Linked DNA regions of Caenorhabditis elegans. The protein of the gene in region 1 purifies or fractionates together with the protein of each later gene. This does not show direct contact. Each region holds a gene or a part of one and is shown in the gene's direction. Other genes may lie near its edges.

Region 1 (6,481 bases):
CCGCAACAAATAAAATAAAACCAAGTATACGGTTTTATTAAAAATTCACTTCTATATAATTTTGAGGAAGTTTCAGAGTTACCATTATTATAAAACACTAAAAGCTCGGCCACCAATTTTTTAAGCGGCCACGCAGAAAATACGACCTGGTCAATTACCAAACATAGGTGTCCCTGCAAAAATATACACTAGGGTAAAAGGTTTTATTGCAATTACTAGGCCATCATCGAAGACTGCCTAGTTTGGCTTGATGGATTGATGATGTGCCAAACTGATGAGCCAAACGGAGCGGGTAGCTAAGAAGAGTCATGGTTACGTACATGGATACGGAGACGTTTTATACGGTAATAATGGCTTTTCATCGGGCTCATCAAAATCTCATCATTTTCCGAATAAAACGTTGCCGTAACCAAATGAAACCATGGTGATGCGTGGTTACAAGCTCCGCCCAAGCATCGGAGCAATCCTGCCGGATTCATTTTAACTTCAATTTTGAACGAATAGCTTTCGAAAATGATCTCAAAGACTTCAATTCTTCTCCTTGGTTTTGCCTGCGCAACTGTTGGAGCCAGTTATATGGTAAGATATTTCCTAGCAAAAGTTTTAGCTAATACAAAGATTCCAGGACTCCGGCCCATTCAAATTCGATGACTCTTGCGAACCACTCGAACCACCACGCAAGCCAGAGGTCTCCGAATGCTATGAGGCACAGGTAACTTAGAGTAGCATTTAAACTATTTATTCTGCTGAAAAGGCTTCATGCCAAAGTTTAGACCTTGTTTCAAAAATTTGGCCAATCTTAGTTTTGGCACAATGCCATACTCCTAGGTCCTAGACAAACCTAGGTAAAACTTGCCTAAGTCTTGCCTAAGCTTTACCAAATTTAGGCCAAAAACCACAAAAAAAATTATATAGATTTTAATATATATTTATTTCAGCCGAAAGCATTTTTGCCAAAAGCTTTAGAGGAGTATCGTGCATTGGGATACGACTGGGGAGAGTTTGTGCATGACGACGAAGCGGATAAGGCTCCAGAAGGACTTGACGAGGTCTTCACTTACCCAATGGTTCCATTCATCGGCATGAGCCTTCTCGCCTCTAAGAAATTCTAATTGTGATTCTGTGAAAATATTTCAAATGTGGAATAAACCTGTTAACAAAAAAGTTTAATTTTGATCTTCTATATCCAGGTTTCAGGAAAAAATAATTAAACATGCAAGGACTACAAAAAAGACAGTGTATGAGCAGAATTTCAGGAATCTACGGTGTAAAAACTCGCTCGCTCTTATCAAATCAAAAAAAAAAATTGTTGAAAATGTTTTATGTAGATAACTTTCGGGCAAATTTCCAAACTGCCACGTAGCAAAATAGGCCTGCGCACTTACCCAAAAGTATAAATGTGTTTGAAATTGGGTGAGAAGGTTTTAGCTCAACTACACCATGATTAGTAGGTACATCTTCAGGCATACGTGCCTGCCCTGCCATATGTTAACTTACCGACTATTTTCTGCAATTTGGCGTAAACTCCGGTGTTAGGGTAAATACTGTATTTGATCATCTTAATTATGTACATTAGAAAGATCAACTTTAATATTAAAATTTTCACAAATGAAATCCACACTTTCTGCCTTCTACTACACACTATTTTAGTTCAATTTTCCATTAAAAACACAAAACAAACCGTTTAACCAATCACTTGTTCCATTGATCTTTGCCCACTCCATTTGCCAAAAACAAAGAAAATCTAAAAGAAACGAGTAACCGAAACAGAAAAGTGACGGCATGACTATCAATCAGTCTCCTTTTTTTTGAGAATCAGTTCATCAATTCGCGCAATTCATCATTCTGTTCAATTCTTCATGATATTTCTACTTTTTGTTGTTTTTCCATTTGTATATGCACAGCTTTTGCCAGAGTTATTAGCAGGTTTGTGTTCCAATTTCGCATTTTTGTCGGCTAACACTTTTTATTGCAATTTTTTCAGGTTTTCAGAATGGAAGGTTTAGAGGGGGACCCGATGGTTTTAATAGAGGACCTGGAGGGTTTCATCGTGGACCTGACGGCTTCGGGGGAGACCCTCGTGGCGGTGTAGACCTCGGCCACTTGATTGGGAATATTGCTGCAAATGTTGGTCAAGAAATGGGTCTAAACGATGCTGATGTTATTGGAGATTTAAGAGTAGGTTATTCACAGCAAAATTATCAGAACAGTTTACGAGAAATTCAACGTTTCTCACAGAAAAAAACTAAACAATTTTATTGAACCTTTTATAGGGAATCTCTCGAGGACCCCGACCATCATCCATGGAGTGGGGACGGCGAGCCCGGCATTTCTGCAGGAGATATCCGGGTCATCCAAAATGTCAGCGAGGACAACTTCCACAGTTTACTGATGTTCCGACTATTATCAACACTATTATCTACAACGCGGGAGATCTTCTTCCACGAGTTCCTACGTAAGTTTCAAATGTGAAGAGTTATTAGAAAACTGTCTGTTTGAAAATATTTTATTAACGTTAAAAAATCTCCTTTTTGAAATCGATGTGTAAGTCAGGGGTTTTTAGTCAACAAATTCGGAAAATGGACAAATCGCCGGTTTGCGGATTTGCCGGAAATTTTGAATTCCGGCAACTTGCCGATTTGCCGATTTACCGTTTGCCAGATATCAGATTTGCCGGAAATGTATAGACGGATTTTTTTATAAGACTGAAACACTTAAAACTGTGCCTTTTTGAAAAAAAAAAATTTTCCCGTTCACTTTAGATATTTTCATAGAATTTGCTTACTTTTGAAAATAGATGTAGGACCATTCATAGGATGCAAACAATTTGCAAACAACTGAAATTCTGAAATTTCAAAAAAGTTTGCAAATCCACAATTTGCCGATAATTTCCGGCAAATTCGGCAAATCGGCAAGATGCTGGTTTGCCGATTTGCCGGAGTTTAAAATTGTGCCTTATGCCTGCATGCCTACCTACTTTACTTTCTGACTGATCAATATTACAGCCTAAACATCCATGACCCGTTGGCTGGACTAAACAGCGAACTGGTTGGATTCATCAAGAGTCTTCAGTCACAATTTGGACAACTCAGTTCCCAACAGAGAAACGAGATTCACGATTCATGCAGATCATTCAAGTGCGATCAGCAGTCTCCTCAGAACACACAGGCAAAGCAGGAGCTATTGACAAAGGTAATTACCTAGTCTAGGGCTTCCACCCTACGTTTGCCTGCCTGGTCGTAAGCGTACTGAAGCGCTAAATTGCTAAAAAGAGGCGAGAGGCAGGCGTGAGGTAGGCAGGTTTTAAGCCGTCTGCCATGGAACCGCTAACCTGGCAAGCTTTAATCTTTCAGATGCTCGCCTTCGATCAAGCGGTTGGCGGTAAAGCTGCTCCGGCTCATGACAAGGTGAACCTCCGATTCGACAGAACTCAGCAAGTGAAACAGGCATTGCTCAAAAGAGCAAATTTGTCGCATATTGTAAGTATACCTTCTGGCAGTTTGAAGAAAATTCAAGTTTGCTTCAGATCGTTCCAGCTGACAATGGAGTCTTCGACAGAGATGTGTTGCTCACCGAGCATCAGGCTAACTTCCTGCTCAATGAGCTCGGCGAGGCCGGGCGTGGAGCAGATGTTGGAGCAGGAGGAGGTGGTGGTGGACGAGTTCCAAGATCCGGAGTTTTCTTCCAAGAAAGTGCGGTTCAGAAATGGGATATTTGGAAGCCTATTCAGTATACTTTGGATGATTCATTAGGTATAACTCTTTGTCAAATTTGAAGAAAAACCGTCAAAATCCTGACAAGTTTCCAGAAGAATCCGACAAAAAAGACATCCGGGATGCTCTACACGAAATTTCAATCAACACCTGCATCCTATTCAGGTACAATGCAACGCCAAAAGGATATCACTTGAATTATATGAAAGTTGATAGCACGACCTTGTAAGTTGACTAGAGAATCTAAGTGTGACGTCACTTCCTTTTCAGCTGCGGTCTATCCTACGTGGGACGGACCGATCCGGCCAACCCGATTTACTTGAGCTTCCAGTGTGGGGATGTACGGTTTCTTCTTCATTTTTTGGGGGAAAACACGTGGTGTCAAACTGTCCCATTTTGGTGTGATCTACAAAAAATGCGGAGAATCTTCTTTGAAATTCTTGCGTTTTTAGTAGATCACGCCGAAATGGGACACTTTGACACCACGTGGAAAGATAATGCAAATTCGATCGAAAACTTTCAGAATCGAGGAGTTGCAATGCACGAAACAATGCACGCGTTGGGCGTCAGTCACCAACACTTGAGACTCGACAGGGATAAGTATATCAAGGTTTTTAACTTTATTTGCAGTTTTTATGCCGTGGCCTAGAAAAAAATCCTCAACAGTTCCACGGCCACGTGATGTCAGAGTGTCTCATTTCGGCTTGATCTACGTAGATCTACAAAAAATGCGGGAGAAGAGACGCAGAGTTCTCAACTGATTTCGCATGGTTAAGAACGTGCTGACGTCGCATTCCGTTGGGCAGAAAATTCCCGCATTTGTGGTAGATCAAACTGTAATGGGACAGCCTGGCATCACGTGCGGCCTAGTTTTTTTTTCTCGGCCATTTAGAAAATGTGACCGTCTTTGAGTTTCAAGAATTTTTCGTGACAAGACCCACCGCACCTTTTATAATGTAATATCACGAAATTTTAAAAACATTTTCTCAAAGGCGCACGGGCTCAATCGGATGGGTCTCGCCACGAAAAAATTAATGGCTGAATCCTATACTGTTCATTTCATTTTGGAGACGCAGAAAAACGCGCATTTTGAAAATTGAGGAGCAAGCGCGCTCCACGGCCAAGTGAAAACTGTCCGCCCCCAGGAGTTGGGTCTCGTTAGGTAAAACCGTAACTTCAACTTTTTTCAATAATATTTCGAATTTTTTACTATTTTTTCCGTTGTTTTGTTGACTTTAATGTCGAAATAATGCAAAAAAAATTCATTTATCAAATTTCAAATAAAATTTTCATCAGTTAAATAATTAAAAACAACTGAAAACTTAACGAAAATATACGAAAAAAATATTGAAAAACCGATGAAATCTGGAAGAAAAGAAATTAAAATGGCAATTCCTAACGAGACCCAACTTTTGGGGGCGGGGAATTTTAGTTTGACCGTAGAGCGCGCCGGCACCTCGATTGTGCTTCTCTAAGTGCCCATAATAATAAAATGAATAAAAATGCCCGCCAAAAAACTCAAAAAAGTGCTACCATAACATTTTTCGTGGTGAGACCCATCCTAATGAACCCATGCGCCTTTAAGCAAGAATTCCAAAAATTGCCTCTTGTTCGCGACGAGACCCAGCCGATTTTTAAAAAATTTCAAAATTTCCAGATCGACTGGTCAAACATCGACCCCCAACACTATGACACATTTGCGATATCCGACGCGAAACTGTACACATCCTACGGTACCAAGTACGCCTACGACTCTATAATGCACTATAACGCATATCTCGGCGCCAAGGACCCCAACAAGCCGACGATGATCCCGTTGGTGAATCCACAGGAGAACACCCCGAAACTGGGTCAACGAGCCAAACTGACCCGCGGCGACATCCGGTTGCTCAAAAAAATGTACTGCCGTCCGGGATGTGACGATCAGAATGTGCACTGCGGCACGTGGGCTCTGCATGGCTATTGCAAGATGAAGGAACAAATGAAATGGATGAATGAGAATTGTAAAGCTAGTTGTGATAAATGTTGAGGATTCTCTACTTGACACACAAAACAAAATTCATAGTGAAAACTTAACAGTAACAACAAATAACAAAAATTCGGATTATCATTTAAACAATATTTTAAAAAATTATTTCGATGCTGCCAGCCAGTTGGAAATGTGGAAGTTGATGTTCTTTGGAGTAACCGATTGATTTCTCTTCTTGGCAGCCTTCTCCAGATCATCCAAATACTTGCTCTCAACCTTGTCATAGGCATCCTTCGCGTTATCCATCAGCTGTCCCATCAGGATCCATGGTTTCCTGGAAAATTAAATATTTAGAATGTCTGGTGAATTTGATAACTAGGAGAGGTTTTGTTAATATCGCTATTTATTAATACAGCTATCTGGTTTACGATTATGCGAAATTTTTAAATCGGCAAATTGCCGGAATTAAAAAATTTCTGGCAAATCGGCAATCCGGCAAATTGCTGAATTTGCCGGAAAAACGGCAATTGCTGAGAATTTTCGGCAAATTGCGGTTTTGCACATTTTTTTTTGGAAATTTCAGAATTTCAATTTTATTCATCAAAACTGTACGCATCCTATGAATCTTCCTACATCTATTATGAAAAGTAGGCAAAGTCGATGAAAATATCTAAATGAAGCGGGAAAAAATTTCAAAAAGGCACAGTTTTATATGTTTCCGTCGTATAAAAAATCCCCCTAAAAATTTCCGGCAAATTGATATCCGGCAAACCGGCAATTTGCCGAATATCAAAATTTC
Region 2 (4,880 bases), on another chromosome or scaffold:
AGCGGTCTTCCGCCGAAACAACTTACAGACTTGCTCCAGCTCTGATGAACCAAAATTAACAATCATAAACCATAAATTTTATTTCATATCTCAAAGATCACTGCTTTTTAATTTCAACTGGCTTTGTGACAGGCGGAACGAGCTGCACAGACGGTGGTGTTGGCTGGGGAACATCAGCAGATTGCAAATGACGACCACGGTCTGAAAATGTACAGATTTTTCAGTGGTAAGGCACTTGAACTCACTTGGATCTGGACTCGCGACCATCAGCCCTTTGTAGTTGTTCTCCATGAGCTTTACAATTTCAAAATTCTCTGGTGTTGCAATCATTCGTGGACGGAGAACTGTGAAGGATAGCTCGTAAGAATCCGAGACGTGCATAATCTGAAAAAACCAAATTATTTTTTAAATTGATATCATGAACTCGTATAACTTACTGCTCCACAATTGGTATCATTCCCACAATAATATGGCGCAGAGAACACTGTGACACACTTTTTGTTGAACAAGAAGTTGAATCCTTCCTGAGACACTTCGTGAGCTCGGACAATCAACGAGAGGCCAAGCTTCTTCAAGAAATCATCCAATCCTTTTTGGCCGAAAACTACAGAAATTGCACGCTGCTGAAAAGTACAAATCGTCAATGTAAATAGTAGAAATTGTGATACTTTGTTCATTGCAAACGTGTTGCACTTATCCTGAGTTGGATCAGCCCACATCAAATCAACTTGAAGACCTTCGTCACAGGTTAATGGAGTATTCGGTTTCTTCAGAGCTTTGAATGATTCCCACGAGTTACAGTTTTGGGAGATTCCTCCGTGCATGCAAAGGATCCGTTGACCAACTCGAGCACAGAGTGGAAGCTCGTTGAAAACATTCTGAAAGGCATAGAGATATTATAAAAGTCGTCATTACGGGATAGTCTTCTGTTTCCCTGATATTGTCTCCACATCCTTCCTCCTCTCTTTCTTGTCAATTCCTCATAGAAACCATACAACCGGTTCATTTTCATACATTCATGATTGCCACGTAGCAAATGCACCAAATGAGGATATCGAATTTTGTAGCAGAAAAGAAGAAGCGACACTTCGAATGATTTGGCTCCACGATCCACATAGTCCCCGAGAAATAGAAATTGAACTTTTGGAGGATATCCAACGGCATCAAAATAACGAATGAGAGCATCCAGTTGTCCGTGAATATCTCCGACAATTGTGATTGGATGCTCAACTTGGAGCATTGCTGGAAGTGGTTTCAACGTCGACTCAGCCTGAAAATATATCATTGTAAGACTACAAAATCTGCTCAGACTTGTGCGTGGGACTTTCAGAATCTAGAAGAAATCGCAAAATACTCTAATTTTCAAGTTCATACCTTTTCCAAAATAGTGTAAATCTGTTTGTCAGTGAATGCATCAGTGACGCCCCATTTCAGAAGATGCTCAATCATTCGTTTGGCGAGTTGTACCACTGATTCTCCTTCGTACATGTATCCTTTTTGACTTTCCATCATCTTGCTTCGAACGTCGACTTTTGAAAATTTAAAACTTGGGAATACATTTTTTTTTTTGCTCGGAAAGATTCTTTCCTTTTTTTGTCGTGGTTACGTGAAATTAAATTTAAATTTTTTTATATTAATTTACTTTTTTTTAACCTCTTTTAATTAACTTTTTAATTTTTTTCAAACAAAACCCTAATTGTTAGAAAATATGAATATTTGAAATCACTAGCTCAGAAACTGACGGAGGATTGAAGCTGAGAAGCTTAGGATAGTTTGGAGGTATGAAGTAGGCACGCAGGTAGGCATGATATGAGTCTTTCCTACAACATTTCTTCTTTTCATGCCTCCTGCGCTCCTACTTTCTGCCTACCGGAAAGCTTTCGGAAAGCAATCGGTCATCTGACATATTGATGAAAAATAGGCTCTGAAAATGATCACATTTTGATCACATTTTGTAGTTTCTCAAAAAAAAAATTTGCCAAAAATACACATTTTTGGATAAGACAACAGTCCAAGTCCACATTTCATTGTCATTTTTTTCCTCAAAATCCCAGCGAAAATCCATTTTTTCCGTCATTATCTAATGCTAAAATCTAAAATCTTGTCTCCCGAAATGCCCTGAACATTTCAACAAAATAATGGCAAAGGTGGTGCGGCGGAAATTTTTCATTGTTTCATTTTTATTATTTTCGATTTTGCTGTTATTTTTACAACACTCTCGGCAAGTTAAGGTAATTGAGAGGACTTTTATTTTGGAAAATGGCTCGCAGAATAGGTAGGGGTTTTTTAAAAGTTTCAAATATTAAATAAATTTCTCAAATTTGTTTTAATAGTTCTCAAATACGAGATGCTTGTTTCGTACCCTACTGGAATCAAAAAACCACTGAAAATATTTTGCACTCGGAGCAAATCGAGGAATGGGCAAAAACGGAATTTGGTGGGAATGTGAGCTTTTTTTCGTTACTTGGTCGAGTTTGGGGCGTAGAATTTTCGATTTTTCCAGCTCAACATGATCGATGGGGAACCTCGCCTGCTATCCGCTTTCGTGTACCCTGACGAGATCTCCATTATCACTACTGTAATGCACACTTTTCTGTGGGTAGCGTTAACATAGGTCTGCTTAAATTGACAACGCATTTTGCTCACTTTATTAAACTACAATGATTTACTTTGAATTACGGTATTTTAGAATTTAACAGAGTGAGCAAAAAATGGTGTCAATATTCCTCAGGATCCAAAGTTTTCAGAAAACGTGCCACATGTCATTACTACGACTGTAACCGTGTCGAAATTCACGCTGCAAGATTTAAATCTCGTGTATGGCCGCTAGCAGTCATCACTTGCCCGCGAAGGTTCGGCGCAGAGTACGTGAGTGTCAGCTATGAAGAAGATGAAGAGCCTCAGGAACCGATTCCGTTGACCTACAGGGCTTACGATAGTAAGCTTGAAACTGAGCCTGAAATATCTAAAATTGACTTTCAGGGCCGCTCCACGAGCTCTCCGTTTGTGTAGGGCCAATGTATGGAGAAGAAAGCAAATGGCTGGAAATTATAGAATACGTAGAACATTATAGATTGGTGGTAGGTCTTAGAAATACATAGTGTCTAGAGTTTTGAACTGATACATTTGTTTTATTAATACTTGGGCTAGACCTCCCACGGAGACGTGCCTACGTGCCTACGTGCCTACGTGCCTACGTGCCTACACAAATCAACATATCATTCCAGGGAACGTCCCATTTCTACTTCACCCTATTCAACATGAACGAGTATGACAGGAAAATAATTGACAACTACGAGAGCCTAGGCATCGCTGAATCCACAAAATACACCACTGAATATTTGAGACTCGGGTGGATGTTTCATCTCTTGCAAACTCATGTAAGGGCCTAACTGCCTACCTACTCGCCTGCCTACTGGCCTAAGGCTTGATAGGCCTGCCTTCTAGGCACGTAGGCACAATGTAGGTAAGAATTTTTGTTTCAGGAATGCCATTATCGGAGTAAATTTCATTCGAAATGGGTTGTCAATATGGATATTGATGAGCGGCTGGTATACACTGGACCACTTAACCTGAGAAGCTATTTGAGGTGAAAATGTTTCAGAATTTTCCAGCATTTCGTGAGTTTCCAGGAGACTCCCGCCGAACATTGGAGAAGTCAGCTTCACCACAAATCGAGTCTTGAAAACTGAGCCAGTTCCTGTAAAATATAGCAGTGATGCTCAATTAATGGAAGATATGCTATTCCTGAAATACAATAAAACCACTGAAATCAGTTGGTACAATTTGAAAGGGATCATTCGACCGGAAAAAGTCGCCATGCTTTTTTATCACTGGTCATATTTTCAGTTTGAAGGGGTCAATGTTGTTTCGGTGCCGAAAAGATTTGGGCATGTCAGGTGAATACTTTTTTTTGCAATGATCGAGAAATTTACCGATTTATTGATTTTCAATGTTTCAAAATATGTATCGATTTTCTGAGAAATTATAGATTTTTATTTGGAAAAGCTATTGAATTTTCAAAAAAAGTTATTTGATCTTCCGAAAAAATATAAATACCATATAAAACTTTCATTTTAAAAAAAGTTTCAGACACTACCGAAACATGGACAAAAAGGCTCTGAATGGGAATTGGATGGAAAACTACAACGGGACACTTCAAGAAACCCGCCTATCCAGGTCATTCGAGAAAAGATTAATTTCGGCAGTGAGACGACGGGTCAAATATGTATACGATCAGCGAATGGTGAGGTGCGAAGAAATTCCCGAGTGGTTGAGTTCAAGGTTCAGGAGGCAACTGCTGGATTGTAAATTTAAAAATGAAATTTAAGTAAGATGTTCCTGGTATAATAAATTTGTTTTTTGATCGACCTCTTACGGACATTTCAGCTTGGTCGAGGCGCTTGACGTCAAGTCTTAGAAGCTGAATTAGGACTTCTGTATAGGTTTCTGAACGCCTGCCTACTTGCCTTCAATGCCACCTGGGCCACGCGCGCATACGACCGCGTTTGAACTGTTCAACATAGAAGCCACGACACGTTCGACGATATGTTGCATCTATACACAATTAGTATATCTTAGAAAAATTGTGTACGAATTAATGAAGTATTACGTGTCCATGATTTGATGAGAACTGCTGCTCTCTCTTTTCCACACGCTCTCTCGCCATAGGCGTTTTGCATAGGCGTTAGATAGCGTGCGAGAAAAAGAGACGCAGGTGCTTTTTGCGCGTAAGATATGGCGAATTTTCTCACTCGAACATGGATACGTGATAAAACAAATTTATTCGGAAGTCATCAATAAATTATCAGGAACAATGAAACAGAAAAGAATTATTGTGATTAAAACGTGGAAAACACGCTTTTGGTTCAGAACATGTG

Evidence for each region. Proteins that work in one complex are often made in the same cells at the same time.
Region 2: the proteins of nas-9 (region 1) and gtnt-39 fractionate together in Caenorhabditis elegans (co-fractionation; one large-scale study listed by BioGRID). This does not show direct contact.

Annotation. Positions count from the first base shown.
Region 1 is NC_003283.11:4,835,298-4,841,778, reverse strand, and holds nas-9 (Zinc metalloproteinase nas-9), read left to right. Parts: upstream 1-1,776; 5' UTR 1,777-1,859; coding exon 1,860-1,926; exon of another isoform or gene 1,927-1,984; coding exon 1,985-2,178; intron 2,179-2,273; coding exon 2,274-2,455; intron 2,456-3,005; coding exon 3,006-3,192; intron 3,193-3,353; coding exon 3,354-3,479; intron 3,480-3,526; coding exon 3,527-3,752; intron 3,753-3,808; coding exon 3,809-3,938; intron 3,939-3,983; coding exon 3,984-4,053; intron 4,054-4,236; coding exon 4,237-4,323; intron 4,324-5,370; coding exon 5,371-5,742; 3' UTR 5,743-5,752; downstream 5,753-6,481. Other genes in the region: cwp-1 (uncharacterized protein), read left to right, coding at 514-579, 626-712, 939-1,112; C37H5.5 (Nucleolar complex protein 3 homolog), read right to left, coding at 5,845-6,016. UniProt on the Caenorhabditis elegans protein: Metalloprotease.
Region 2 is NC_003282.8:4,432,989-4,437,868, forward strand, and holds gtnt-39 (Glycosyltransferase family 92 protein), read left to right. Parts: upstream 1-2,045; 5' UTR 2,046-2,138; coding exon 2,139-2,275; intron 2,276-2,333; coding exon 2,334-2,445; intron 2,446-2,503; coding exon 2,504-2,595; intron 2,596-2,747; coding exon 2,748-2,938; intron 2,939-2,982; coding exon 2,983-3,080; intron 3,081-3,227; coding exon 3,228-3,380; intron 3,381-3,485; coding exon 3,486-3,589; intron 3,590-3,632; coding exon 3,633-3,899; intron 3,900-4,092; coding exon 4,093-4,330; 3' UTR 4,331-4,367; downstream 4,368-4,880. Other genes in the region: R08C7.8 (Serine/threonine-protein phosphatase), read right to left, coding at 98-201, 246-384, 438-623, 669-878, 935-1,270, 1,375-1,488.